Lonchura striata: one gene and its partner. The protein of the gene in region 2 binds, or shares a complex with, the protein of the main gene of each other region. Links are inferred from orthologs where the notes say so. Each region holds a gene or a part of one and is shown on either strand. Other genes may lie near its edges. The genes, in order: NUP42 and GLE1.

Region 1 (11,731 bases), on a different chromosome or scaffold from region 2:
GTTCTTTAATGAATCCTTCGTGTCTCCGAGTGTAGCTGTTTCAGGACAAGACAATGTACCAAGGCCCATGGCTTTTTAACTATGGAGGGTGGTTAGAAGTATTAATCGGTTTTCTTGGAAGTTTTTGATTTTTCCTGTCCTTGCAGGCTTTTCAGATGTCTTCTTTCAGAAGAACTGAATCTGGAGTACTATGACAGCAAAGAGTAAAACTAGAAAATGTGTAAGCAGTTTAAAAATGATGACTCATGGGGACAATCTTTGGGATAAGACTTGTTACCAATCTTCAGGTGGCAACTCTTGACTTATCTCCCAACTCCAGGAGATTATCAGAATGCCAAAATATTTTTCAATTCCTGTGCACCAAAGAGAATGCCAAAATAGCAGCAGGTCCACATGGTCTACGCTACCATCATCTTTTTGCCTGAGGTCTCTCTCAGAATATCAGATCTGATATTGCTCTTCATGTAAAGACATAAAAATTTGATATAAGGGCAACAGTAAGAGTATTTAAAGGAATCTTGTATTAATATCAAGAAATTAATCTTTTCACCTCGAAATAGAAGGAAAGCAAAATTCCTCTGTTGGATTTGTGAAGTTTCTTCTCTAATTCTAAATATTTTTCTTTGGTTCAGTTGACAGACAAATTTTATTTTTTGTTTTAATTTTTTTTAAGTCTTCCCCAATAATAAAAATATGCATTTTTCTTCTCTCTCTTTTCAGATAGATGCTGTTGAACTGTAACCACAACAGTGGGAAAACTGGCTGATTCAGTGGAAAGCTTTAAATGCATCAACAAAAGCATCTTTGGTAAGTGTTCACAAATGGCAACATGTCTCTGTGCCTGATGTTACTTTTTAATGGAGTAATTTACATAGATATTAATTATGGTTACAAAGACTTCTGAGATTTGGCAATTGTGATGTGCCACCTGGGCATATTCTATGGACTCCTGAAATCAGTTAATTCCAGATGCTATTACAAACCCCTTCAGTTAACTGAGGATAAACATGCATAGGGATGGTTCCATGTTAGCAAGGCAGCAGCTGGATCCCAGCTTTGGAATACTCTCATTGCAAGCCACGTGAAAACAACCAGAGCTGAAGTTTGGGATCTGGTTGTGTACATGACTAGGAAGAGGCCCATCCCCACCACACCATTTTTCCCATGTGCTGATGTTGACTCTACCAAGAGAGGATCAGCAGACTGGACCAGAATTCTCCTCCAGGACACCTTAGGATAAATGGAGCATGTGGACAATTGAGAGGTGGATGGGAGAGAATCCCTTTGGATAACATTTGAGGATAGAAAGAGTCATTGGTCCTGGGAAGGTGACAAACACTTGTGAATGGAGATAGTTTTTCAGAAGCAAATGCTTGAATTTCAAGCCCATATGAAAAATTGAGGGAGGCAGAGGAAACGTCTCTCTTTGAGTGCAGTCTGCATGAAGTGCAGGGAAGGTTGAGTAATGTGATCCCAGCCCTTGGTGTGTTCAGAGCCAGAGGTGGACAAGCAGGATTTGGGCTTTACCACAGGAGACAGTAACAGACAAAGATGTGCTGAGGACAGGAGCAGAGTGAGTCAAAGCTGTGCCCTAAATACAGTCACAGAGCACAGGCTAGAACTGAGGTAAGAGGTGAGAATGAGAGCTCCCAGAGGGGATCAGGTCATTGACTGACAGGCAAAAATTGATCAGTTGTAACAGATTTGCATTTCTGGAGGGTTTTACGGAGAAGGGCAGGTATGGCCTTAGAGCACTTAAAGCACTGCAAAAACAGGCAGTTGTGAGGAATGATCACTGTCCAGCATGGTCTGAGTTGGATTCAGTGGGACTGGGCAGTTCTGACTTAGTTTCAAAGAGTTACTGAGAGAGAGTTCCCTGTTTTGGAATCTAGTTTTCATGTATGTCTCTGGAATTTTTTCAGCTCTCTGCTTTCAAGACCATGGGCACTCAAGCAGCACCTGCCTTTGGAATGGAGGGACATCCAACCTCAGGCTTTGGGCTGTCAAATAAGTTCTCGTTCTAAGAGCCAAACCATTTACACGTTTTCTGTAGTTTGCTGCTGCATCCTTGAAATGCAGCATTTGTTTAGAATCCTTGGGCTAACAATTCTAATATTTTTTGTAAATTCTCTACTCGCAGGCTTTCCTGTGAGCAGCAGCAGCACCAGTGCCAGCAGTTTCTCCTTTAAAACCAGTTCCAGCCTCATCAGTTCAGCATCATCTGGGAGCAGCCCTACTGCTGATGGGAGGTCTGCTGCTGCTGCAAATCCTCCTGCATTTGGGACAACATCCTCTCCTAGTGCACCCCAATCCGTTGGCTTTGGCAGCTCGGCTGCTCCCTCCACAGTCTCCTTCTCCTTTAAAGCAGCTGCCACGGCTGGTGGCTTTGGGACTTCTGGCTTTTCAGGCTTTGGCAGTGCTCCTGCTGGGAACTCTGCAAGCACCACTCCAGCAGCCTTTGGGGCCTTTGGTGCCACCGTCCCCACTTCTGCGTCACCTTCGAGCGGTGCTTTATTTGGCCAGAGCACCGGTGCCTCCGGACATCCTGTCACCTCAGCGTCTGCTGCAGCCACCACCTCCAGCCCTGCCTCAGAGAAGTTATTCACACCCAAGAGCGAGCTGTCAGCTGAAGAGTGGCAACAGTTTGAAGCAAAGGAGTTCACAATTGGAAAGATTCCTCTTAAGCCGCCACCATTAGAACTTTTAAATGCTTTCAACCTTTTAAGTTTATTCTGAAATGTTAATTTTTATTACCTCTCTCAATTCTCTTTGCAGAAATAAATGTACAAGTCTAAACTTTTGAACATTATTTTGGGATGGACTTCTTACATCTGAAAGATGAACTGTTGAAACTAAAATGGAACATTTCATTCTATATGCTGTCCTGTGAAATTCTGTACAAAGACTCTATGAAAAATATGGTGTCAAAAGAAAGAATGTTTCAGTCAGGTATTTAGAACCTACTCTTGTATCAATGAATTGTCTCAAAATGTACGCTCTGTGGGTGTAGGATTGGCCATGAAAGCTTTTTTCCCCATTGCCCCAACAACTGGTATTGTAAATTTATTGGTGAGCCCTTACTGATAGTTGTTACTGAATGTGTGCCTTTGCTGTCTATAAAAAATCTGTTGTTTTATTCCCCAGCTTTACTGAAACTAGCTGATATGTGAGGGATGCCTCCCTAATTTTCTCCAGTCTCCTTCAGTCATTATCACAATCCTCCAATATCTGAATGATTTCATCTTTAAGTTGACCCTTCCTGTCCAGAAATGGCACATGGATTCAGGTCAAAAGGAGGGGCCATTTCAGACCCCACAACTCCTTCCTATCCTTTTGCCCTTTCTAATGCCATTCTCTTTTAATTCACATTAAAAAGGGGTTCAATATAGTCTGCATATCCCACCAACTGGGGTTATGAGTCAGCATGATAGTTTCCAAAAGCTGATTCCTTCAGGATTCTCTCATTATGAACCAACAGATAATTTCCAATTCAAAAAATCAAAAGTAGTACAAGGAACTTGTCCAGAAAAAAATGGCTGATGCTCTGCCCCCACTGCTTCTCTGTGCTCTATATTTTGAGTTGTATCCTCTTTGTCCATCTCCACTCTGCTCTTATATGGGTGTGGAAAGAAGGGAACTAACATTTGCTCATAAAACCTCATCCCCTTTTTCAACATCCACTGTAAAATAATATTAGACTGCAATGACACATTTACCCTATACTCCAATTTAAAAGTGGCCACCAGTGATGACAGTATCTCTTCTTTATTTTTAGTCACTGGATCTCCTCTAAACACATTCCCGTTTTTGGGGATGCATCCCAGACAGCTGTGAGGAGGAATTGTGGATTGGCAGGCTCTTGTCATTAAATTTAATGGACTTCAAGTTAGGCAATTCTTTTACCCTTAGGTCCAGACCTTCAGTAGTTACATGACTCCAGTCCACCTGATTGGTTACACTGATAAACATACACCATTTGAAAGAGGAACACTAGTGCACCTACCAATCCAAGAATCCTATTCCCCTTTTTGGACTTACTTGAGTCTCTCTGCGGCATTGCACCTTTTTGTTGCTCACCACCTTGATCCCGGAGAGGATTTGATGGAGTCAGTACATGCTGCAGACTTGTCGCATCCAATTCTCTGTTGCCAGTGGAAGCAAGATGGCCAGTCAAGGCTTTTGGCCATGCTGCCTGCATACCTAGAACTCTCAAATATGGATTCTACTGGGTGCAAGAAGCAGATTTGCACACAGAGTAGAGTTTTAGAATATCCTGACTAGGAATGGACCCACATGGATCATTGAAGTCCAACTCCTGGCCTTGCACAAGACCATCCCCAAGAGGCACACCATGTGCCTGAACTCTGTCAGGTTGGTGCTGTGATGATTTCCCTGAGGTGCTTTCTCCAGCACCCAGCCTCTGGATGCAGAATCTTTTTCTAATACCCAACCTAAACCTCCTCTTACACATCTTTAGGCCATTCCCTCAGGTCCTGTCACTGGTCAATGATGAGAAGAAATCAGTGCTTTTCCATCTATTCCTGAGGAGTTGTAGATTGCAACTCAGTCTCATCTTCTCTAGACTGAACAGACTAAGTGCCCTCATCTGCTCCTAATACAGCTTCCCCTCAAGGCTCTTCTTGATCTTCGTTGCCCTCGTTTGGATGCTCTCTACCAGCTTTATATCCTTCTTATACTGAGGTGCTCAAAACTGCCCCCAGGACTTGAGATGAAGCCACCCCAGTACAGAGCCAAGCAGGACAATCCCTCCCTTGCCTGGCTGGTGATGCTGTGCCTTGTGCACAGAGATCTTTGTTACGTGGCTGTTCATGTGGGTAGAGAATCCCTAAATGTAGCACCACCTCTGTGTGCCAGCCAGCCATTTTTATACACTTTAAACAGCAACAGCTCAACATCTCCAAGCTATACTGTACCTACAGTGAGAGGACTAGAGAAAATGGCCTTAACCTGAGACAGGGGTGATTCAGATTACATATTGGAAGAAACTTTTTCACTGTTAGGGTGGTCAGGCATGGGAATAGGTTTCCCAGGGAGGTGGTGGAATCACTGTTACAATATGTGGTACAATTTTCCTAAGAAAGGATGTTGTTTAATGCTTGATCTTTATCTATTTTCAAGCCTAATGAACAAGAAGGGAGATTTAATCCCTGAAATAGATAGCAGCTGGCATGCTGTAAATGATGCTCATATGGTAGAAAAACAAACTACTTGTAGACAGAATTGCCTTGTTAGGGTTCAGGGCTGGACATACTTCACTGATCTCAGACCTGGGTGAGGTTAACAAAGCTTGGGAAGAAGGATGTATCACTGATTGTGGACACCAAGAATGCAGAATTTACATGCCACAAGAATATTTGTCAGAATCCCCAAGATAAGGAAGAAAATAATAAAAACAACTCAGCAACTGTGCCTGATCTCAGACCTGGGTGAGGTTAACAAAGCTTGGGAAGAAGGATGTATCGCTGATTGTGGACACCAATAATACAGAATTTCCACGCCACAAGAATATTTTTCAGAATCCCCAAGATAAGGAAGAAAATAATAAAAACAACTCAGCAACTGTGCTGACACCAGATCTGACTGGGTAAAAGATAATTCCAGCAGGGGGATCTGCAACCACCAGCTCATGGACCACCAACCCAAGAAACCCATGGGCCCACAAGGAGAGAGACTGAGAATGTGGACTAATTGGCATGAGAACTGAGAGAATAATTAACTAATAGAAGCTAGAATATGAATTAGTAAGAGAGCTATGTAACTTGTAGGCAAGGAATGCTAATTCCTTTGTTTGCTAAAATGTATAAATAGCAAAAGGTTTTGATAGCCGGTGTGCTTGATTTGTGGAATGCCATCTAGCACTGGGCTTGTGCAACTGAAATAGAGAGTCTTTCAAATGTGTAATTATTGGTATATCATTGGGTAATGAATGCAATTTTTGCAAACATCACCATCCCTGGGGGTATTAAGAGGCACCTGGATCTGCTGGGTGATGTGGTTTAGTGGATTACAGTGACAGGGATAGGTTGGACTGGATGATTCTAAAGGTCTCTTCCGCCCCTGATGATTCTGTAGGCACGGGCTATACATCCCTTAGTCTCCCCGTAAGGACACAGCACAGGAACGCTTTACCGCGCGGGCTGCGGGGAGAAGAGCCTCTGTGCGAGAGGGGCGGCTGTTTTACAGCGTCCGTGGCTGCCGCTTTGCGCAGCACGACCCAAACCCGAGCTTGGCTTTACCGGCGCCCGTTGCTGCGCCACCCCCGGGCGCCCGTGCCGGGCTATCCCCGCCTCCCTGCGGGCCGGCCCCGCCCGCGCACGGCCGCGCGTCAGAGGAGCGCCGGGCGGCCATGGGCGTCTGCCAGTTCTTCCTGCGGGGCTGCTGCCGCTTCGGGGAGCGCTGCTGGAACCAGCACCCCCGCGGGCCGCCCCCCGCGCACGGTACCGCCGCGCCGGCCGGCAGGGCGGCCCGGCCCTGGGCCGCCGCCGGAGCGCAGCGCGCCGGGCGCGCTCGGCCGCGCTGTCTGACCGGGCCGCTGCGGGCTGGGGGTGTTTAGGCTGAGGAAAAGGAGGCTTGGGGGCGGCTTATCGCTCTCTGCAAGTGTCTGAACGGGGGCTGTAGCCGGGGGGAGGGAGGTCGGGCTCTTCTGCCAGGCAACCAGGCCTTAAGCTGCACCACGGGAGGTTCGGGTTGGGCGTTCACACAAAGAGACACGAAATATTGGAATGGACTGCCCAGGGAGGTGGTGGAGTTGCTGTTCCTGGAGGTGGTTAAGGAAAGACTGCATGCCGTGGTCTAGTTGACAAGGTGCTGTTTGGTCATAGGTTGAACTCGATGGTCTCAGAGCTCTTTTCCAACTTAACTGATCTTGTGATTCTGTGACCGCGGGATGTGCCGCAAGGCAGTGGGAAAACAGCTTGGAAAACTCTGTTCTTATGAGCAGTGAGCAAGTTTCCAGCAGCTGTATGTTCACCCAGTGACGGCTGTTTCCATTCTCGTCTGCTCTGGGTGTGTGGGGGCTTTGGGAAGGAAAGGGGCATGCATGACAGAGAGCTGGGGGCTGCAGTGATGGCACGGCACGAACTCACTGCAGCCACTTGTCCTTATTCCTGCTGGAAGGAGGGTCGGGGTTTGCCTGTAACAACACGCACAGGTGTGTCCGGGGTCTCAAAATGAAACTCGGGAGCTCCCTGTGCTGGAGCAGAGCCCCTGTTGTAGCTATGGAGACAGGAGCCCCTAACATAAACTTATGGTGTGTTCAATTTAATTTTTTTCTGCTGGGGTAGCTACTTCATCAAACAACCTAAGCAAAACTGAGTCAGTGTCTTTCTGCAGTGCCACAAGTTGTTGGCACGATGAGGTAGCTGAAGGCATCTCTGCTCATTAAGGCACAGGGGAGATTGAACTAGATGACTTTTAATGGTGCCTTCCAACCCAAACTGTTCCATTTGAGAAGTAGGACTTGAGAACTACCCTGGGCAACTCAGTAGTTAAGCTGACTTAATAATGAGTTTTTATTAGGAAAAAACTACACTTTAATTTCAAACTTTTTATTGTCACTGTAAGACTAGTTATACTTCCAGTTTTTGTTGATGTTGATTCATATCTTAATGATTAAAATGTTAAAATGTTTGCTTTTTTGTTTGTTTGTTTTAATTGGAAGTTTCTAGTGGAAGAGGAGGAGGATGGGGTACCTCTAACCAGAGATACAGTAATGTTATCCAGCCATCTTCGTTCAAGTCGGATACGTGGGGTGGCAGCAGAGATCATGGAAGAGGATTCTTTGGTTCCTCTGACTTTGGATCGTCAGGCGGCAGCAGCAGAAACGCAGACTTTTCACAGAACAGGTTCTCTGCCTTAGCCAACAGTCAAAGTGTTGCTGATGGCTCTAAAGATGAAGAGGAGAGACTTATGTAAGTTACAGTCCTCTCTTACTGGAAGCATTTAGAATGAGCAGATTGAAAGCTTACTGACTATCTAGAGATAATGCAGGGGACAGGATTGTGAGGAGAAAGCTGGGACACGGGAAGAAGCAGAGAAGACTTGGTTCTCTGGAATGATGCTGGCATGGGGAGGAAGTGATCTTTGTTTGGGACCTGGGTTGGGCAGATAGGCAACTGTGATATTAGTAAGATGGTATTAAAGTTGTGATCAGGAGGATAAGGAAGGAAACAGATTTCAGTGCTTAATAATAAGAAATCCCTTAATAATAAGAGCCCTTTAAGAAATTGAATTATTTTACTTGTTGTTTTGTCACTTAAGACAACGAATCTTTCTGCCAACAGCAAAACTATTGGTTTCACAGAGGTGTATGTTACAGTCAGTTACAAGTGGCCAGAACCTGCAGGGCAGATACTGAAAAGCTGCAGTGTGATTTCCTAAAGAAGCAAGGTTTTAGAAATATTATCTATTACTCTTTTTAAGATTACATTAAGAAAACACTTGGTTTTCATGATAGCAGGTTTTTGACTCTGAATTTAAATTCAAACCAATTGTTTGAATTGGTTGTTACTGGCATTTTTGATTTGACCATGCAATTTCATGTGATTTTTCACAATTTCATCTGTGATTTTGTTTTGTTAGTGAATGTGTAGTGAAAGACATGGAAATATGGGAATCTTCTGGACAATGGATATTTTCATGTTACTCACCAATGAAAGAAAAACCAAATGTCTCAGGTAGGTAATGTTTTCAGTGCTGTGTATTGCTGCTGTTTAGGATGTTTCTGTGACTTGCCATATTGTTGTACCTCTGAGCAACCATTTACAAGGTGATGATTTGCCTTGTGATACAACAGAAAGTAATACTAGTTGATGGCAGATTCAGCTTGGACATTCACACCTCTGTTACTCTGTAATGAATCTTCTTTTTGTCTGTAACTCTCTTTTTTTAACTTTTTAAACTTTTTTTAACTGTAACTGTCTTAAGAGAGACCATGTATCGAGGTCCATGTCTTCATAAGAGTTGAGGGCAGCTGGAGGAATCAATCTGTTTTCTTGGAGGTTTTTGACTATTCCTGTCTGGCAGGCTTTTCAGATGTCTCACCAGAAGAGCTGCGTCTGGAGTATTATGACAGCAGAGCAAACAATATAATTGGGAATTATGTAAGTATTTTAAAAATGTTGGCTGGTGTGGACACTCTTGGGGCAAGACTTGTTACTGTTCTTCAGGTGGCAACTCTTGATTGATTTACCTCCCAACTCTAGAAAATTATCAGAATGCCAAAATATTTTTCAATTCCTGTGCATCAAAGTGAATGCAAAAATAGCTGCTAGACATTCCTTGACTTAATCTTGTCCCTGCTCCTGTGTGTTATTTGTAGAAGTTACTTGAGTCCTGTCTCAGAAGTTTAATACCTTATACACTATTAGTCAGTTTGATTGTTATAGGTGGTTATTTGGTGCTTTAAATAGAAATTGGCCTTGTTCTTTTACATACCTTTGTTGTAGGGAATTAATGATGAAAATAGCAAATACTACTTTTCTAGAGACAGATATGTATATACTCATTTGGAAGTAAGACATATGTTTTTATATAAAACATCTCTCAGTGTGTATATATATCATTCCTTCCTTGAAGTCCTGTCAATACCAAGAAGCTAACAGAGTTTAGTGTTGTGCCAGGAAAGAAATTAGGCTGTTGGATAGATGCAAGTACAAATTAATTCAAACTACATTGCACTCTTTCCTCTTCTTGGTTCTGTGTTACAGAAGGAATTGCTCTTGTCACCACTCTTGCTTCATATGTTCAGATTTACCAGAATTGCATTTTTAGAGATGGGAGACACATAATATTTTTTTAAACTTCAATTAAAATAATAAACCAAAATAATAATAAATAATACACAATATGCTCTACATGGCTATTTAAATAAATAAATAAGTTGTGATCTTATCAAAGCATGAAATGCAAGCTTTCCTAACTCTCACTGTTGGTAACTGTATGATACAGTACATGATGGTAACTGTATGATACAGTTCTCTTACGAGATGTTTAAGTACAGCTTGTCTTTTCCATGTTTCTATTCTTAAACCGGGTCAAAATCTGAATTTTCCAGTTTGTTGGATAGGAGCAGATACCAAGCAACATGATCTTCCAGCATGTGATTAGACACAAAAGAATTATTGATGTTTGTGATGCAAGATTCTTTTGAAAAATTAAGGAATTTGTCTACAAAAAGATTAATCATTCAATTTTTGCAGGCATTTGTGACACTTGGTGTTTTACTTGTTTAAGTTTTAGGGAAAATTCAATTAGGCCAGACATCAAATGTGTTGCTTAACTTAAGTATAAATGTAGGAAATTCAGGTTTGAAATTCCTGAAAGGTTGTTTGAAGACTTTTTTAGGATTTTGCTTAATACAAAATCACAGTTATCAAGACACAGATACTATTCATTGCTGCACTGTTCTGTGCAGTTATAAATTAATCACATTTAAGAGGGTTGATTTAAATTAAGGAAGTTAATTACATCAATAGTAACTATTTTAGGATAATACAATTGAATTGTTATGAATTACAGTGTTTTGAAAGTGGGTATTTTTTCTGAAAATGTGGAAGAAGCTAAGGTAAATCTTAGGACTTCAGCTTAGTGAGTGAGTGCATAAGTGGAAAGGCCAGATTGAAGAGTCTGTTCTCATACATTTAAAACTTATATATCTTGTTTTGTGTAATTTTTTCCTCAAGCATCTAATTCAGAAAAAAATAGAATTTGGATTTTAAAAGACCCAGAAGTTGTTTGAATGTTACTCTGAGGTAAAGGGGTTGATTTAAGGACAATAGTCAGAGAGTTTAAAGGAATTTTCTGTTAAAAACAAAGACATCAGTGCCTCACGTTGAAGTTTCAGGAAAGAAAATATCTTATTGGGTTGATGAAATTTCTTTTCTAATTCAAAATATTTTTTTCAATTCAGTTGCCAGATGACATATTTGTATTTAATTCTTCAGTAATAAAAACATGGGTTTTTTTACCCCTTTTCAGATAGATGCTGTCCAAAAGTTAGCATTACAATGGAAAAATCGGCTACTTCAGTTGAAAGCTTTAAATGCATCAACAAAAGCATCTTTGGTAAGTGTTCACAAATGGCAACATGTCTCTGTGCCTGATGTTACTTTTTAATGGAGTAATTTACATAGATATTAATTATGGTTACAAAGACTTCTGAGATGTGGCAATTTTGATGTGCCACCTGGGCATATTCTATGGACTCCTGAAATCAGTTAATTCCAGGTGCTATTACAAACCCCTTCAGTTAACTGAGGATAAACATGCATAGGGATGGTTCCATGTTAGCAAGGCAGCAGCTGGATCCCAGCTTTGGAATACTCTCATTGCAGGCCACGTGAAAACAACCAGAGCTGAAGTTTGGGATCTGGTTGTGTACATGACTAGGAAGAGGCCCATCCCCACCACACCATTTTTCCCATGTGCTGATGTTGACTCTACCAAGAGAGGATCAGCAGACTGGACCAGAATTCTCCTCCAGGACACCTTAGGATAAATGGAGCATGTGGACAATTGAGAGGTGGATGGGAGAGAATCCCTTTGGATAACATTTGAGGATAGAAAGAGTCATTGGTCCTGGGAAGGTGACAAACACTTGTGAATGGAGATAGTTTTTCAGAAGCAAAGGCTTGAGTTCAAGCCCATATGAAAAAAATGAGGGAGGCAGAGGAAACGTCTCTCTTTGAGTGCAGTCTGCATGAAGTGCAGG
Region 2 (11,312 bases):
AGAAGGAAGATGAAAGGATAGGGAAAAGCCATGTTTCTGAAGCTAGTTTCCAAAGGTTAGGAGCCTTACTCTTCATGTCACTTAGGATTAATTTTCTTTCTGTGCGGCAGCCGTGTTGCAGACCAGGTGGAACAACTGGCAAAGATCCAGGAACAGACACGGGATGAAAACGATGCTTTGTCAGAGAAAGTACAGAAGATGAATGGAGAGAACAATATTTTAAAGAGAGACAATGAAAAACTAAAGGTCAGTGACTCTTAAGGGTTTGAAGATTAAATGCTAGTAGGAAAAGAAGGGGGAATTATAACAACTTGCTTGGCCACTGAGGACAGAGTCAAATTTCACCCATTGTTGCTATACAGTTTAAACCAGTTCATATAACATGACTGAGACAGAGCCAGTGTGCTGGGAGGAGACAGAGAAAGTGTACATACTGGGAGAACTGTGTTTCTTCCATGTTTTGGCAAGGAGTATCTCCAACTACTGTTTCATCTAGTTGGGATCTTAAATCTTGTCTTTACACCTTCATGCTACTGACCAGAGAACAAACAGCTGTTGCAGCTCCTACAAAGAGGATAGTAATCTCCAGAACAAAAAAAATGGCATATTTCTACTGTTGTCCTTTACCATGAGTGATCTTGTGGGTGACTTACATATTTTTTTCCATCCGAAACCTCTGTGCTCTGCTGATGCAAATTTGGCTGCCTATTGAAGTCTGAAAAGTTTTGGCAACTTGCATGGACAAAACTGTATTTTCTTAGTCTAGGCAACATTAGAGAGCTCACATGGCAGGTACTTCCAAGCACTCAATGGAGAGTGTTTTCTTTTTTTCAGGCTGCTCTGATTTCAACGGAGGACAAGCTGAACCAAGCACAGATGGAATTGCAACATCTTCAGAACTCTGTCAGGAGCTACGAAGGGTTGATTGAAAACTACATGGCACAGGTGGGTCTCAGAACCTTCAGCCCTTGCACAAAGATGTTTTCTCCTTCCACTGTGGCTTATTCTGTAATGCCTTAGCTATTGCCAACTGGGGCAGTTTCAATTACTTTAAGGCATTGCAAACATGTGTTGAAAACTATTTATAACAGATGAAGTCTGGGGTCTTTTTTTGAATGTCCAGGCACAGATGGCGCAAAAGGAAGCGGATGAGATGGCAGAAAGACTGGAGAAGTGTGAAAAAGAGAACCAGTCAATAAAGGATGACATGAACAAGGCGATTGAAGAGGTAACTATTCCTCTAAAGACATGTTATAGAAAAAGACATGTTATATTCATGGGTCTTAGCATTCTGAATCTAGTGAAAAACAGCTGTGAATAGGAAATAAAAGGCTTATCTTGATTCTGCCTTTTGCATCAGTTTTTTCTCAGAACTTGTTCAATAAGTTTTGCAGAAAGAACATTTAGCAGCTTCTTTGTGACTATATGGCATTCTTCAGATATGTAGAAATTATTTTGTGTGTCCTTTGCTGCAGAATTAATGGTTTTGAACAATAGATTAGGTAGGTTACACCATTAGCTGATGTGGAACAGCTGACCTCAGAAGCAGAGCATGTACTTCTAGTAAGATTGAAGCCCACAATCCAATATACTCATTCTTACACCATCCATAGGGAATTCCAGATCCTAAGTGAAAAATTTTAGGAGCAGGAAAAGACATTAGGCATTGAACTCCAGCACTATCCAAATATCCACACAAAGCTTCATTGAAGTTGAGAAATGTTTTAGTCTTGATCTTACAAACATTTGAAAGTGCCTCACTTTCTCTTCTTTGATTACAGACTCGTGCGACGTTCCAGCAGCAGCTTTCTGAACTGGAAAAGCTGCCTGAGATCCTGAAGTACACTGAGACACAGCTGGCAGAGTGCCATGAGCAGCTCATGTGTTATGAGAAGAAGAACACGGACCTGTGTGCCATGATTGCAGATCTCCGTCAGCTGGTAAGGGACTGGCAGAAAGTACCTGTACCAGTGCAAACCTCAACTGAGAAAGGAGAATGAATTTCTAATCACAGCAAGGTTCAAACTTCATCTCTGTTCTCATCTCTTTCTGAAAATATTAAACGTGCACTGCAAAATAAAGGTGTGTGCCATGTCTTTGTGCAAGAAGTTAGTGGCTTTGCTGGTAACATTCCTTAATATTTGAAAGGTTTCTCATCCCTTGGTGCAGAATCTTTCTGGGACTTGTTAGCAGCCATGGCAGCGCTTGCTAATGCCAGCCCTTGTTTCTGTTTCCTCATCCTCTTGTCAGCTTTCCCTCCTGTAGTTTTCTGGTGATGGTGCTGGCCCAGCCATTTTCTCACTCCCGTTTCAGGTTGCTTTCCCGGTTTCTGTTTTTGGGTCCCAGAAAGGCTGTGAAGGTATTGCAGGACAATTTCAGACAGGGATGACATCTACAGCTGTGCCTCACGACAGCACATGATCTCTGTCTGACCACTTTAGTCTGCTTGGTTTGGAATGATAAACCTCCCTGGTGTTTCAGGTTCTGATGCTGTTGTGGGCTGCTGGCATGTTTGTGGCTGCTGTTGTTGTGTACTTGGCTTGTAGCTGCTGCTCTACATGCAGGAATTTATGGGCCTGGCTTTTCTTTTGCAGTACAGATGACTTTTCCTACACCTTCCCAGACTGTAACTGGGAGCATCAGCAAAATAGATGTTTAGTTCTTTTCTATCCATGGTTCCCTTTCTGAAGCTCTCCAGAAGTTATGAATGGAACATATTTCCTTCTGAGACCTGCATATGTTTTTGGTGGCTGGACATGTGTGTGTGTAGTGACTACTCTGTGAAATAATTAATTCCTGTAATTTTTAGATTGACCTCCAGGGGGACAAAATGGAGATGACAAGAGAGAGATATCAGTCTGCCCAAGAGGAGAAAAAGCAACTCACCTTGAAGGTGGAGGAGCTAGAAAGGTTAGAAATACTGGGCTCTCTTGCCTTTTTAACCTTCCATTTTTATTGTTTTTACAGGGGATTGAAACAGCTTCAGTCTTGTTCCAGTTCCCCACATGCCTCCAGGATTCTGTGCATTTGCTTATCCCACAAGGTTCTCTAATCAATAGCTGTCCACTGATGATTATATGCTTTTGCAGCAGCACGTGTTATGAATGTTGTTAGACAGAATGATGGCTTAGACAGCAAAGAAACCAGCTCCTTGTCCAATCTAGCCTGGCAATTCTGAGGTTACTTGATATTACATTATTTTAACTTATGTTTATACATTTGTTTCAGTGACAGTGTCTCAGAAAATGCAGGTAGATGGATACTCTGTAGGTCCTTCAATATTTGAAATTCTGATTTGACAACTGGAGAACTATTTCCTGGGGCTCTCACCTTTCAAGCAGGAATAGGATCTATTACCAGAGGAGTCAGGACCTGACAAAAGGCAGAATGAAACACACTCCATTTAAAATGAATAGGTTTCCTTCCCTTATTGTCTTAAACTAGAAAACTAGAGTCCACGAGTGCCCAGAACATAGAATTCCTTCAGGTCATAGCAAAACGTGAGGAGTCAATCCACCAGTGTCAGCTGCGGCTGGAGGAGAAGAGCCGTGAGTGCAGCTCCCTGGCACGTCAGCTGGAGATGGCCATTGAGGATGCCAAAAGACAAGTGAGTAATTCCTCATGTTTTTGAATTCACCCAAAGCTACCCAGGCTGTGAAAGAGGAACAGTGAGAATCATGAAAATATCTTCTCAGCTTATGACCAAACCCATTAAAATCATCATGTTCAGTGAAATATAAGTAATGTGCTGGTTCTATTTGTCAGCACTGTTGAAGAACTGAACTCGGTTTGTAACAGAGAAAAGCACAACACTGAGCTGCTGCTTATATATGAGAATGTCAGTTAAATTTTAAGGGGCTTTTGTGGGCAATGGGTAGGGGAAAAAACATTCTTCCACAGACACCTCTTTAACAGAGTTGTTGTTCTGTGTAGGTGGAGCAAGCTCGAGAACGAGCAGTCTCCAGAGAGAAGGCAGCCCAGTCCAAGGTGCTGGATTTGGAGACACAGCTGAGCAGGAATAAAACAGAGCTGAACCAGTTGCATCGGAGCAAAGAGGATGTGAGTGGCTTGTGGAGGATACTCTTGCTGTCCTTGTGGTGCCTTGGCAACAGTTGGATTCCATAAATCATCCTGTGGATATGCTGCTGAGGTCATGCAGAGGTGTGCCTGAATGTGATGTGCTGTTGTGTGTGTCCATGTATGTGTGATGAAGGACATGTCTGCTGTCATCAATTCAGGATTGTGTGGTGATAGGCCAGTCAGAGTACAATGAATGAATGAACCTGGTGTAAAGTTATGTGTGTGTAAGAAAAGAATCAGACTTTCCTTGTGTTCAAAGTAGATTTGCACCAGGTATCATGGACAGATTTCAACTTCATTTCCCCTATCTCAGAGAGAGATGAAAGGATTTCTTTCCTGTCCTATTACCTTGCTTCTTTGCTTTAGTTTTACTTGGAATTGTGTTAGCTGATGGATCAGGTCAAGTTGCTTTTCAGAAAAGGGTGTGTTTCATTCCCGGTAACTACCGCTAATACATTTTAAAAGCCCAACTGATAAGCCACATTGTCTCCTGCTTTTATCAGCGGGTTGCTGAATGGAGTTGGGAACGAGCAGAAATTATAAATATCACAGCACCATCTATGGTAATGTCATCTCCTGCTGTGCTAATTCTGGCTCTCCTCGGCACTTTGGGGGAAGAGTTTAACAGGAGCAGGATGAATGTTGCTGCCTTTCAGCCTGTTTTGTGCTCCCCCGTGCAGGCAGAGCGCCGATACGAAAGCCGCCTCCAGGACCTGCGGGATCGGCTGGAGCAGTCGGAGAGCACCAACCGCAGCATGCAGAACTACGTCCAGTTCCTCAAGTCTTCCTACGACAACGTTTTTAGGGAAAGTGTTTTTCTGGGCTCCCCCAGCCACACTCGCTCTCTTCTCTGACAGCAATGCTTTCCTTGCACCTTTTTTAAGCACACAGAAGGAGCTTTGTTTAAAAAGCCATATTGGTTTAGAAAACTGGATGACATTTCAGAGTCACTGTTGGGAGATTTTTTTAATTGTAAAATGAGAAAATAAAATTATGTTGGCATCTGATCAAAATGTGGGGTATCAGCAATACTGGTTTGGTGCTGGGGGTTAGTGTTACACCATAAACTGAGCTCCAAAACCGTGTGGTTTTGCATATAATGGAAAAGATCCTTTTCCTCCTGTCAGGTCATGATGGTTTCAGCTTTTAAAACCTGCCAGAGGTTTGTTGAGTGTGTTAATTTTTGTAAGAACTCTCTTTGTGCTTCACTTCTCATTCAGTTTCTCTGTTGGAGAGATTACGTGGGGTTTTTAAAAAAAATTTTTATACTATTGGTGTGATGCTGAAAATAACTGAGGTGCCTAGGCTCTACACTCATGAGAGATAATCTCCTGCACAACCACAGTGTTTGTAACAATTTTATACCAGAAATTATGAGTTTGGTTTGGTTTTTTATATTTGATTCTTATATCCTCCCTGATCCTTACCTTTTCTTGTGAGTGTGATGCTGATGTTGCTTTACTCCTCTTACCCCGATTTTCTGATCCTGAGTATACCCACCCAGGATTAAGCCAAAACAATCTAAATTTTAAAGAAGTCATCATCACTTCATTTGAGATCTTGGTGCAAATGCCACGTGAGTTCTGGGGATGTGTGAAATCCTGACTTTGCCTTTAGCCAACTTAGGAGCTGGAGATATTCAACTTCTTCATCAAATTCCTCTACACCTTCTGGAAAATCAGATCTTTTGTATTTCAAGTCTTTAAAGTCCATATGCTCTCTAGTGTCCTACTGTTTCTACTAAATGGTTCTTAGGGGGACAAAAATAAACCTTGTTTTTATTTTTCTCTCTTTTTTATACTATTTATATGCTATGTGATGTGGTCACTGGCAATATTTGTCATGGAAGTTTTCTAAACTAAACAGTTTTCGAGAGATCTGTAATTGTTTGTGTTTAACACTTTAGAAATCCCAGAAGTGCTGGGAGTGAAACCAATAAAGGAATACATTTTAATTGGTTATGGTGGGGATTTCCTCTTTAGTAGATGCGTGTGAATTTGAAGAAGCAAACACATCCCGGGGCTGTTGGTGCAACTGAATTCCAACCTATTTCTGTGGCTCACGGCTGGAGCCTTCCCTCTGCTTCTGCGACAGGGGCTAAGCAGCACAAGGCGGCTCCGGGGAGCACGCACAGAATTAATGGGAAATGGGTGAAACCGCGGCCGTTTCCCGGCCCGCGAGCGCGCCGCTGCCGGGGGCGGGACTCGAACCCGCGGCGCCGGGCCGGGCCGCGCCTCTCCGGCAGGGGGCAGCCACCGCCCCTCCCGCCGGCGCGAGGCGAGCGCGGCCCGGAAGGGGCGGGGCGGGGCCGGGCCGGCCCTGAGGGAGCGCGGGGCCGGAGGGATTCCCTGGGCCGCTGCTGCAGCGCCATGGAGTCCTGGCAGCTCCGCTTCGACACCCTGGAGGCCCTGCGCCTCTCCAGCAAGGGCCGGCTGAGCTACTGCAGCCACTGGCAGGAGGATGAGGTGAGTGCGCTGGGAAACACCGAAAGCTCGTCTCGGTGACACTCAGGGCTTGAAACACCCCCAGACCGGGTCCAGGCTCGGCAGCGCGGGGTCAGGGAGCGGGGCTGGTCCAGGGGGGTTCGGATGTCCTGCGGAAGTAGGATAGTCCGGAAAAAGTGTTGGAAAGACAGCGGAAAAAATGGGTTAAATGGGATACTGAGCTGCGATGGTAAAGCAGCTACTAACTGTGCGGATGTGCTCGTGGTGTGTTAAAGTTTTATTGAAATTCAGGCTGTGCCGCACTCACGGAGAATGTTTTCTCTCAAGGCGGCCTTGGACGGATGCGTGGCTCCCGTGGAGCTCTCCCCGTACTGCGGCTGGGTGCTGGACAGCCTCAGTGGGCAGGCAGCGCAGGAAGCCTCACCCTCCTCCACGCCCGAACAATCCACTCCGCTCCCAAAACGGGCATCAGCCGAGAAAATCCCGCCTGGCAGCCACCGGAGCTCTTCACCACCCTCATCTACAGAGCCCAGTGAGACCAAGGTAGCTTTCTGCTTATAATTCACATGTTTATGGAACAGCTGTGATAAAAAACCCCAAAAAGTCCTAGCTTACTGTCATAAATTGTCAGTTTAAGGCTGGCTTGTGCTCTGTAAATTTATGGAGAAAACATCCTTAGTTTAAATTATTTTAGTATGAACAGCTGATGATAAAATCAGTATTAACAAGACTTTCGTAGAAAAAAATGTTTCACAGTAGACCCAAAGCAAGCTCCATTGTTCACCATAGCTGAGGAAAATAGTTGGAGCTCTGTTGTGTTATGGATTAGCAGCACAGGATTTGTCCATTTGGAGAGATAAGGTCACAGAGGAGGGTCAGGGCTGTTGTAAAAGTCCATGAGTAACCACACTGGGTTCTCTGTAGTTTTGAGAGATATACCTGTATTCTGACTCTGTTTTATGAGGCAGAAGGGTAGGAAGCTGGGCAAATAATAATTTAGGAGACTTGCTTTTTCTGTTTTCCTCCATGAGTTTCTGATCCCGTTCTAAGTTGCTAATTTTGCTTTTATGCTGACCATGCAGGAAAATGATCATCTTAGTCTCCTCAGTCAAGAAGTTGTTCCAGCAGTTCTGTCATCTAAAGTTGCAAAAGTTGAAGGCTGCATTCGGATGTATGAAGAGATGCACAGGCTGAAAGCAAAGGTAAGAAAAAATGATTGAGGGGCTGCCTGTGAATCCCAGGAGAGCTCCACAGTCAGAGGTAACAGTGCAAGGACAGCAAGTTATAAATGTTGGGCAGTTTAGTTTGTGTTTTCTTCTGTCCATATTGTTCAGTGACTACCTTTGGTGCCCCTGTGTGATGCAGGAGAGGCTGAGACAGCGGCAGGAGGAGCAGGAGCAGATGGTGAGGGCAGCCTATGCCCAGGCCAGCGAGCAGCTGAAGCGCTTTGATGAACTGAGGGAACTGAAGCGGCATCAGGAATTCCAAGAGTTGCAAGAAGTAATGGAGAAGAGGTGAGATTACCTCTGGTATCACTAGAATTTCATAGCATTTAATCAAAGTGCAGATTAATTTCTGTTCCTGACAATTCTATGCTGGTTACTTGTGGTTGGAAATTTCACCTGCTCTTTGTCTTACATTAACTGTCCTGTTACAATTTAGCTGTCCCAGTAGATATCTGGCTATTGTTGAGGTTTCAGTGGTTAGGAAAAGACAACATTTGTGATAGCTAAAGTTCCTTTAGCTTGTTTTAAGAATAACTTCCTGTGTGTTGGTTTGTGTTTTGTCTCCTGAATGTCTTGAATACCATTTTTCTGTCTTTATGTGTGTTGTAGCTCAAAGGAGGCTCAGGGGCAGCAAGAGAAGTTGAAGGAAGAACACCGACATAGAGCAAAGGTGTGAGACTCTTAAGAATTGTCTTTCATAAAAGACCATGACTACTGGGTGGGAACTGGAAAGACCAATTGATTTATTTGTATTTTCATGACACTCTGAAATAAGGATGGCTTTTCTGGTGCTGTCCTGGGCACTGCTGCAGTGTGGAAATGCAGCAAAGGCACTTTGTGTCCTAGGAACAGGAAGGCCCTGTAAAGCTGGAGCCATCAGACTGGGAAGGAACTGTACAACTAGAGTTATTGAGGTATTTTTTGACTCTTGTGTCTTTGTCTCCCCAGATATTGAACCTGAAATTGCGTGAGGCAGAGCAGCAGAGGCAGCGCCAGGAAGAGCTGGAACGTTTGCGCAAGGAAGAGGGCCAGGAGCGACTGCGTCGCCTTTATTCCATCCAGGAGGAGCTGCTGCAGCTGAACCAGCAGATTGATCCCAACTACAGGCACAAAGACTTGCCCAGAATTGATCTGTCTGCATACAGCAATCGTGGCAACCAGATCTGTGGACTGGTGTCAGGGCTCATCCGCACCACGAGCGAGGTACAGGCTCCGGATTTGTTAACTTGGGCCCTGTAGTTGTCTTCAAAGGCAGCTTGTCATGAAGCCCTCAAATAAGATAGCACAGCAATGATTTTAGATATTCATCCTATAAAGCATCCCATTTCAAAGGGGAATTTTTTCCCCTGGCACTTCAGCTGTTCTCATGAAAATGGCTTATCAAAATGCATGAGAACTTCTACACAGGAAAGATTCAAATTAAATTGCTGAAAACTCTTGGTGCTGTAAGGTTCCCTCTGTGACAGTGGACTGGTTAATGAATTGTTAAATACTGAACATCTTACGAATCTCCTCTCCTCATAAGCTTTTCTGCAGTAGCTGGCTTTCCTTGACATTTTTTCTTTCTAGGATGGGATACAAGTCTTGAAAGGTAAAGCACTAATAAGGCTAATCCTGTGTTCCAGTTTGTCACAGCTGGCTTTCCGCATAGGGAGCTGTCAAAGCTTTGCACTGGAGTTGTCTTGCACTTGTACAAGTGTACTCTTGATTTTTGTTGTCCCAGGATCTTAGGAGATTTAGTCATGGATTTGGATTATTTACAAATACTATAACCAATGTTATGTACAAATAAAGGAGATGGGGATAAAATACATAGTTAGCTTCCAGATTATCTGAAGTGCTTCAAAGGCTCCTTGCACTGGCAGCTGGCCCTCTGACACTGGAAGCAAAGGTTAAGGCTGTGTTACCTCTCATGTTTCTTGGCAGAAAGGGTTCCCAACTCAAGCAGATGTGGCCAGCACTGAACGAGCCCTGCAGGAGATGCGAGGGTTGATATCCAGCATGCAGCAGGAAATCACTGCAGCTCTAGAAGAAAAGAAGAGGAAAGACGAAGAGGAAAAGAAACAAAAGCAGAAAGAGTTAGAGAAAAAAGAGCAGATGAACAGTCAGACTCCTGCCCCTGCACAGCAGTCAGGGGAAAAGCAGCAGAAGGAAGGTTGGTTAGGCTTTCTTAAAAAACTTTTTTATTCCTTTGACTTACAATTTTTTTAAAATGAGTTTTCTCACTAGAGGTTTAGGTCTTTCTTATCTTTTTTTTTTTTTTTTTTTTTTAATTGCAGGACTTAAGGTTAAAACAGAAGAAAGTATCATGCAGTGGTACCAGCAGCTTCAGGATGCTGCTGAGCAATGTGTTGCTGCTTTCAGTGAAATTGGAAACTGCAAAAGCAACACTGAGGTATGAACAAATTATTAATACTGTTGAAGAGAAATTATCTTAATTTCTAGGGTAAACAGGATACTTTACATTTAAAATAAAAAAAACAAACTCTATTGTAGAAGCCGCTGTTACCACTCTTCTCATCCAAACTTTTATAGATATATACCTGTTAGGAAAAGATTTTAAAGTTGTTTGTTTGTTCTCCAGGTGAAGAAGATAAAAACCAACTTGCAGAAAGCAGCAACAATCCCTGTGAGCCAGATCTCTAGTATATCAGGTCAGGAAAACACCAAGAGCTCAATCCCACTGAAATTCCTTTTGCTTTAAAGTTTTTATGAGGGCACAAGCATATAAAGTGTTCCTGTAGCAGAAAGCTGATCTGCATACAGCCTATCTGTGCATGCGGGTTTGCTTTTGTTTTGAAGGCCTGTTTCTTCACTCAAAAGCGTATTTCTTCATCAGGATTAAGTTTGGTTAAATAGATGGAGCAAAGGTGCCCTTTGGGTTGTGGGTCTGGTGTTGGTGAGCTTGATGGGGTCTGGGTAAGCCTTGTCTGCTGTTCCCTTATCTTCTGTCTCCATACATTCCTTATGTATTTGCAGGCTCTAAGCTGAGAGAGGTGTTTGACAAGATCAATAACCTGCTGTCTGGGAAGCCTGTTCAGACTGAAGGGCAAACGGTGTCCGTGACTCAGCATCCACAGGGGCTGGAGTTTGTTTGCTACAAACTTGCAGAGAAGTTTGTGGTGAGGAAATCTCTTGTTTTGGGGTGGCACAGGCAGCCAGTGCTCTAGGAGATGCTTTTGGGCACTGAATTATCAGCTATGAAGAACAAAATCATTGGGTGTTCAGTTTGCCTGTATGAATGCAGTGAAAAAACTTAGTTTCTCTTTAATTTCCAACCCTTGTTTTATTTCTTCTGGGAGGAAAAATTCTTTTAAATTTCAGGCTTATGTCCTATATATTTTGAACTAGGTAAGTGCAGTGTTGTGGAAAATACTTTGATAGTTAATTTATGGTATATGACAAAACTGTATATAGGCCCAAACTTTGTATTTTGGCAGAATTTGGGTGACAAAAACCCCAACATAGAATATTAAAGAGGCAAACTTCAGTCCCTGCTTTCTTGTTAGCACCTCTCAAGAAATGAAGTTTGTTTTTCGAAGTTGGCAGTATTTTTCTCTTG

What was found.
Region 1: the proteins of GLE1 (region 2) and NUP42 are in contact, whole or in part, in a crystal structure (PDB 6B4I), measured with the Homo sapiens proteins. The link is inferred for Lonchura striata from reciprocal best matches to the Homo sapiens genes GLE1 and NUP42. Residues at the interface, in NP_001003722.1 of Homo sapiens: Ile385, Ile593, Leu598, Asn599, Trp602, Arg603, Ala606, Gln607, Leu609, Asn610, Gln636, Tyr637, Gln638, Val639, Gln640, Lys643, Met644, Ile646, Leu647, Glu650, Asp651, Tyr652; in NP_001357375.1 of Homo sapiens: Asp185, Asn186, Val187, Leu188, Phe189, Gln202, Phe203, Gln204, Ser205, Lys206, Lys207, Phe208, Leu210, Gly211, Lys212, Ile213, Pro214, Leu215, Lys216, Pro217, Pro218, Leu222, Leu223, Asn224, Val225.

The regions. Positions count from the first base shown.
Region 1 is NC_134603.1:125,078,956-125,090,686, reverse strand, and holds the start of NUP42 (nucleoporin NUP42), read left to right. Parts: upstream 1-6,327; 5' UTR 6,328-6,367; coding exon 6,368-6,458; intron 6,459-7,681; coding exon 7,682-7,931; intron 7,932-8,601; coding exon 8,602-8,696; intron 8,697-9,045; coding exon 9,046-9,122; intron 9,123-10,998; coding exon 10,999-11,085; intron 11,086-11,731.
Region 2 is NC_134624.1:449,395-460,706, reverse strand, and holds the start of GLE1 (mRNA export factor GLE1), read left to right. Parts: upstream 1-6,395; 5' UTR 6,396-6,449; coding exon 6,450-6,545; intron 6,546-6,815; coding exon 6,816-7,067; intron 7,068-7,606; coding exon 7,607-7,726; intron 7,727-7,889; coding exon 7,890-8,038; intron 8,039-8,359; coding exon 8,360-8,420; intron 8,421-8,698; coding exon 8,699-8,953; intron 8,954-9,676; coding exon 9,677-9,905; intron 9,906-10,029; coding exon 10,030-10,145; intron 10,146-10,334; coding exon 10,335-10,404; intron 10,405-10,729; coding exon 10,730-10,872; intron 10,873-11,312. Other genes in the region: ODF2 (outer dense fiber protein 2), read left to right, coding at 111-246, 835-945, 1,124-1,228, 1,782-1,940, 2,810-2,910, 3,445-3,607, 3,934-4,059, 4,761-4,934. UniProt on the Homo sapiens protein: Required for the export of mRNAs containing poly(A) tails from the nucleus into the cytoplasm. May be involved in the terminal step of the mRNA transport through the nuclear pore complex (NPC).